2 linked regions of the Tribolium castaneum genome follow. The protein of the gene in region 1 purifies or fractionates together with the protein of each later gene. This does not show direct contact. Links are inferred from orthologs where the notes say so. Each region holds a gene or a part of one and is shown on either strand. Other genes may lie near its edges.

Region 1 (4,196 bases):
ATAAAGCCTTATCTCACTTTTTATTTATTGTTTTTTAAGTTTCTTAGCCAGTGTAAAATTGGTGTTTACAACCTCCATGTATGAACAATTTTACAATGTTTAGATCTATCGAACGGGGTGCCGACTACGAAAGGCCCACTACAGTTTTGTTGAAAGTTTTTAATTTTCATATTAACATTGTATATAAATTTTATTGTAAAATATATTTTTTCTATTTATCACGGACTTTTTTTTTTAATCCTGTCGTAACCATTCATCGGCCTTGGCGCTATTTTTTTAAAAACATACCCAGATTAGCCAACGTAACAAAATTTCCATCAATTTGAAATCAACTTTATTATCATTATTAGTGGTTTCATAAACGCAAAATTGATTAGGGTCCATGCATACTATAAATAGGACGCCTAAACATGCCACAAAATTTTAACTAAGACCAAAAACTCAAAACCGGTTTGAGTTTGATTCGAGTGACGATTGGCAATTCTGTGCCACATTCCGCCAGATTTTGGCGCCTTTGCTTTCATAGTTTTTCATTTTCCTGTTAGTTTTCCGAGTGTTAGTGAGCACTGTACCTTCAAAATTAACACTCGGTGTAGCAAAAAGCGAAAATTATCACCCACATTTGCCTGGACTTGCCCTAACTTTCAATTCGCCAAACTTGAAAAAGCGAGGTTAAGTGTTACTGTGTGTTTTACATTTTTCAAAATTATACGATGGTTAAAAGCGAGACACGCGTCAATTTGCCTTGGTAAGCCCAATTCTTTACATTGTAACCACAATTAACTCGTTTTACGCAAAAGGGTCGAAAAATACCGCCCCAGCAGTCTGGACGACTTGGTGTCTCACGACGATATTATCAAGACAAGTAAGCACAACTAGTGCCCAAACCGTTGTTCATTATTTTTTTCAGTCGGTAAATTTATTAGGGAGGACCAGGTCCCCCACTTGTTGTTCTATGGCCCCCCTGGAACGGGCAAAACTAGCACTATTCTGGCTTGCGCCCGCCAGCTTTACACCCCGGCCCAGTTTTCCTCAATGGTAAATTTATTTACGAGAATTGAACGATTTTAAAATAATTTCTAAAGGTTTTGGAATTGAATGCCTCTGATGACCGGGGCATTGGTATTGTAAGGGGACAAATTCTCACGTTTGCGAGCACACGCACAATTTTCAAGTCAGGCTTCAAGCTGATTATTTTGGACGAAGCGGACGCAATGACCATGGACGCCCAAAACGCCCTCAGGAGAAGTAAGTAGGGTTAGGTTGTTAATGTTTGTATGGAAGTTGCTAATAGCACCTTACTACTTAATTACCATTTACCATTTACAAAGTGCAGTACAAGGTGCTAATCCATGAGTGATATGTGTACAAGGGGTAATTATAAAACATTCAACTACTGATACCGCTTTATTGACAATTGCTCAAAAGTTCTTCACACACTTAAATAACAAGACATTAATTTGTCATGACTTGCGAAATAAGCTTAATTATTGATTTTTTTATTTATCACCAGCCAACTCAGCTTGGTAATTAATGAGAGTGTACAAATCTATCGGACTTTTATCGTCACTGGCACAGCTTTTATCCGCATGGCAAGAGTCTGAAATATTATTACTATTATTTTGTATTAAAGTTAATAAAATTACCTTGACTGCAACAAATCCCGTCGAAAGCGCACCGCCCTGTGTTTTTCCTGCAGGGGGCGCTGCCGGCAATGCAGGGCTCGCGTTCGTGGAAAAAGCCCTCACGTTGGCAACGCAGCGTCTCGGGGGTTCCCACAAGACACCCGAAAGGTCCGCAGCAAATGCTGGGGCCGAAACATTGCCCGCTTTGGCCGGGACCGCAACTCACACACTGGCAAATTATTTTTTGTTTTATTTACCAAAAAAAAATTCTTACCGGTTTGACGGCGTTTTCACTTATGGCAAACTTGCTCCGTTTGCCGCCGCGAGGACAGTTGGTAATGAGACATCCTGAAACTAAAGATTCGCTCAAAACGAGTAAAATGATCGAAGTGATGATTGTGGACATTGTGGCGGTTTGTGGTGCAGTGGTTGGTTGTGTTGGGGCTTCGCTTTTATATTGTGCTTGTGGATGTGTTTTTGTGTGCACTGCGAATTTTAAAAAGCACTCAAGAGATTTTGTTTTGTTATGGTGATTGGTGGCTTCTAATATGCGTTTCTTATAAGGTGATTTTTGTGAAATGCATTGGTAATAAGGTGCGAGTATGTCGGATTCGGAGGAGGAAAGTGTCGGGAGACAATTGAAAATTGTTGTTGTGGGGGAGCCCAGTGTTGGAAAGGTTTGTCCAGTTTTTATGAGTTAGCTTATTTTTTGGAATTAATTGTAGACAAGCATAATTAGGAGATTCTGTTATGATGATTTTACAAGACAGTATAATCAAACGGTTGGTGCGGATTTTTATATTCGGCGAATTTCGCTACCAGGTCGTCAGGAAATCACTGTGAGGATCACTGATGTTGGTGGTAATGAATTTAGAGGACATATGCTAGGAAATTATCTATTCAATTCAAATGTACGTAGTATTTTTTCTATCGAAATTGTAAATAAAAAGGAGAGTTTGCTAAAAGTATATCAACTGTTGAATAATTTTTGAAGTGTTTTTTAGTTAAATTGAGTAGTAATATTATTTTTTATCTTCGTAACTTTTGCTGTCCCGTCCGTTATTGCAAACATATAAAGCCGGTTCGCTATTGTTTCTAGTAATTTCTAGTGAGAAATTTGTCAGAACAGACAAATATAGGTTAGAAACTCGAAAGTTTTTAAAATCTGTTAATTATTCACTTAAATTAAATCTGTGAAGTTATGAAACTGGTCCAAAAACAGGGTATTAAGACTAATAATTTGTTTTAATAAAAATTTGAATTTCGCGTGGAGGGAGAAAAGTTTCCCATGGTATTGCGTTAAAATTTTTCGAACTTGGAATTTTGAGCACTGGTAGGTGAAAAACGTTTAGCAGGAGTTAGATAAAGAACAAGTATGGTAGGTAGAAAAAGGAAAAATGGAAAATTACCGAGAAAACATTTTTTACTGTTATCTTCAATGTTCTTTTTAAAACGCCTCGGCAAAGTTGCTCGATTTTTGCGTGGCATTTTATAATTGCTTGTTTTACATCAACATTTAGTATTGCTCGTTTCTTTATAGACTTTTAGCTGCTTATTTTTAAAATTTCAGTTTGAAATTACAATTTTCCTTTCTGCGCTTGTGCCAAGTGTCAAATTTTGACAATAATGAATTAGTACTGCCAATCGGTATACTAAAAAAACTAGGCATGGCGTACCAACCTAACAACTTCACAGCTGGTTGTTATCCATGTGAAAATACAGTATGTTGTTCTTATTTCTTACGTCGTTAAACAAGGCCAAGAAATTTTAATTTCTACTGTCTAATTTTGATATTGTTGAAGTCTTTAATAATTAAACCGGTCTGAATAAATTTTTCAGGTATTTTGACACACAAAATTTTTTTGTTCCATCCGTTATGTGTAAACGAAAAATAAAATCAAAAGTTTCAACAAGTTCCACCTTTTATTAATGCCTTTTAAATTGTCAGAATTTTATAAAGACTGTTTTTAAACAGTAAAATGTGAAGTCATTTTATGTCCCGTCCGTAATAACTTTGTTTTTTTTTTCTTGATCATGTTTCAACTTTCTCTAATCGTAGGTTGCAAACAGTTTGATTGGTGTTAAGTTCTTTTAAAGGAAAATTTATTTCCACTGATACTGTGTTCATAAAAACTGAAAATAAAATCTAATAATTTGTGCAAAGTGCCTCGTTTTTCACGAAATACTTTATCTCTACATGGATGTTAATTTTTCCAGAATTCTCCTACGATACCTTATGATTGAAATTAATTAATTAATAAACCCCTATTTTGGCTGAAAATATTACTTAAGCATCATAAAATTTTGCTTAATTAATATTTTTATTTACGTAATTTTATTTACAAAAAATTGTAGTTCTTGAAATGTAATAAAAATATTTTAGCGAACTCTCCCTGTATTAGGCAATCGTTTGTTCATTCATTGAGTTAGTTTTTTTTATTGACTACATGAAAAACAAAAAAATTGTTATAAACGTTTTATTTAATGTATTAACTGACCGAAGTATTGACCAGTCTTTGGTAATGGAAAAGATCGAAGAAATTGCAAGGCTAGATACGTTTAATCAATGCA
Region 2 (2,791 bases), on another chromosome or scaffold:
TATTTTTGCATAAGATTAAGCCCTTTGGTAGGGCCTTTCATTGTAAAAAAATCATGTTTGAGCAAACACCCCTTGGGATCTTCATGAATTTTTAAAGATTCTTTAAGATTTCTCGATTTCGCAAAGTTTATTTTTTTCATCCTTTACATATCCTTCAATTTTTTTTATTTGTGCAGGAGATTAAGCCCTTTGATAGGGCCTTCGACTGTAAAAAAATCATTTTCCGACAAACATCCCTTGGGACCTTAATGAATTTTTTAAAATTCTTTAAGATTTCCCGATTTCTCAAACTTTATTTTTTTCACTCTCTTTATATCCTTAAATTTTTCTTATTTTTGCAGAAGAGTAAGCCCTTTGATATGGCTTTCGACTGTAAAACAAATCATTTTCGGACAAACACCCCTTGGGACTTTAATGAATTTTTAAATTTTTTTATGATTTCCCGATTTCGCAAACTTAATTTTTTTCACTTTCTTTATACCCTTCAATATTTTTTATTTTTGCAGGAGATTAAGCCCTTTGATAGAGCCTTCGACTGTAAAAAAATCATGTTCCGACAATCACCCTTTGGGACTTTAATGAATTTTTAAAGATTCTTTAAGATTTTCCGATTTCTCAAACTTTATTTTTTTCACCCTCTTTATATCCTTCAATTTTTCTTATTTTTGCAGGAGAGTAAGCCCTTTGATATGGCTTTTGACTGTAAAACAAATCATTTTCGGACAAACACCCCTTGGGACTTTAATGAATTTTTATTTTTTTTTTATGATTTCCCGATTTCGCAAACTTAATTTTTTTTCACCCCCTTTGTACCCTTCAATATTTTTTATTTTTGCAGGAGATTAAGCCCTTTGATAGAGCCTTCGACTGTGAAAAAATCATGTTCGGACAAATACTCCTTGGGACCTTTATGAATTTTTGAAAATTCTTTAAGATTTTCCGATTTCGCAAACTTTATTTTTTTCACTCTCTTTATATCCTTCAATTTTTTTATTTTTGCAGGAGATTAAGCCCTTTGATAGGGCCTTTGACTGTGAAAAAATCATGTTCGGACAAACACCCATTGGGACCTTAATGAATTTTTAAAGATTCTTTAAGATTTCCCGATTTTGCAAACTTTATTTTTTTTACCCTTTTTATATCCTTCATTTTTTTTTATTTTTGCAGGATATTATGCTCTTCGATAGGGCATTCGACTGTGTTTTTTTTTCTTCTTTAATTCATTGCCCAGTTTTTTTGTATGTCGTTTCATATTCTAATCTTTAGTAATGCGTAAAATAAAAAAAACATTATTATCATTAATTTAGCACTTTTTTCAAATTGAATTAATAATAGTTACGGAAAAATTCGAAAAAGTAGAGGACGCGCTGATCGTGTCATCACTGTCAGCTGTCAAAACTTTGCTTTTTTGAGGTTAGTTTCTATGTTTGCCTCAAAATCGCATCCAAACAACGAATTCGCCCCTTGCCTTCTTCGGGAGAATGTCCGAGAGCACTCGCGCCGAAGAGATACTTAAGGGTTTTCAAGTGTGAGTATCGTTTTTTTTTGGGGGCAAATTTGAAAAATCGCGTAGGAATTGGGTTTGTTTGCGTGACGCCGACGGTGGGACCGTTTTCTGGCAAGGTTGCGAGGACTTGAGCTTTCCGGACGTGGAACATGAAGCTCACGTACCTAAAAACATCCTCAAATGTCGTGCAGTATCTCGAGAGTTTAATTTTAGTTCCAAAGAACAAATCGAAAAATTTCGTCTGGAGCAGGTAACATGTGCAAAATAGCGGTGTTTTATTGGCTTGTGTGCAGAAAGTATTGTTTAAGGGACGGTGTCTTGAAGAGTGGTACTTCGAATTTGGTTTTGTTATGCCAGAATCGACAAATACATGGCAATCGATCATGGAGGCAGCACCTGAGTCTGAAATGATGCCCGCGTCCGTCCTCAAGTATAAATTGCCGCAAATCAATCGAGTTTAATCAATAATTTCATTTCCAGCGGCAATGTTGTCATTGAAACGAAATTCTATGACGACGACTTGCTAATTTCCACATCGAGAGTGCGTTTATTCTACGTTTGAATCAAAAGACACCAACGGGGCCACTGTTGCGTTTTGTTACCTTTGTGTGTGATAATAACAATGTGTGCATTTACTTTATTAAATTTTTCAATAATAAAAATTGTTTTATTTCGCAAACCCTAACACCAGCAATAATGGGAACACAGAGTATATAATTTTATATACTCTGTATAATGGGAGATTGTCCGGTAACAGTATCGGTAATGTAGAGCGCTGCAAGCGTGACGTCACTCAGTATGCTGTTTTAGCCGTCTAACAAGTTACGAACATAAAAATAATGAAATATGCTCGTATACAGACACAAAAATTCATTTATTACTCATTAAAAAATGGTTTTTTATTGCTACATTTTGTAATCATACTGACATTTGTCAGTCTTAATTTTTTTAAATAACCGACATTTATGTTGAATGTCTTATCTTACTTGTAATTAGAAAAAAAATGAAATTAGAAATTAAAAAAATAAATCTAGTAATAAAAATAAAAAAATACTGACAGTTAATGATAATTGGCTTTATCTTTTTGTTTTTTATTTATTTTATTTTCGGTACTAAACATTTATATTTACAAGATTTAACAGTTAATACATTTTTTACAGAACGTTTGTAAAACACTATAATATCTTTCTCATATTTCTTAATACAGACAAGAACTCTATTAGCTTTTGCGATAGCATTTTCATTGTGATAGTTGAATAAGAATTTATTATCATAAAAAAATGC

The links.
Region 2: the proteins of ras-related protein Rab-28-like (region 1) and PrBP purify together in Homo sapiens (affinity purification with mass spectrometry; 3 studies listed by BioGRID and IntAct, with this or other methods). This does not show direct contact. The link is inferred for Tribolium castaneum from reciprocal best matches to the Homo sapiens genes RAB28 and PDE6D.

The regions. Positions count from the first base shown.
Region 1 is NC_087399.1:2,691,964-2,696,159, reverse strand, and holds the start of ras-related protein Rab-28-like, read left to right. Parts: upstream 1-1,248; 5' UTR 1,249-1,374; intron 1,375-1,395; exon of another isoform or gene 1,396-1,499; coding exon of another isoform or gene 1,500-1,600; intron 1,601-1,646; coding exon of another isoform or gene 1,647-1,854; intron 1,855-1,899; coding exon of another isoform or gene 1,900-2,031; exon of another isoform or gene 2,032-2,049; intron 2,050-2,189; 5' UTR 2,190-2,227; coding exon 2,228-2,302; intron 2,303-2,350; coding exon 2,351-2,536; intron 2,537-4,196. Other genes in the region: IT (oxytocin/vasopressin-like peptide precursor), read right to left, coding at 1,500-1,600, 1,647-1,854, 1,900-2,031; Septin4 (septin-2), read left to right, coding at 714-748, 801-865, 911-1,038, 1,086-1,248.
Region 2 is NC_087401.1:12,576,961-12,579,751, forward strand, and holds PrBP (retinal rod rhodopsin-sensitive cGMP 3',5'-cyclic phosphodiesterase subunit delta), read left to right. Parts: upstream 1-1,369; 5' UTR 1,370-1,481; coding exon 1,482-1,528; intron 1,529-1,573; coding exon 1,574-1,757; intron 1,758-1,800; coding exon 1,801-1,937; intron 1,938-1,987; coding exon 1,988-2,069; 3' UTR 2,070-2,169; downstream 2,170-2,791. UniProt on the Homo sapiens protein: Promotes the release of prenylated target proteins from cellular membranes. Modulates the activity of prenylated or palmitoylated Ras family members by regulating their subcellular location.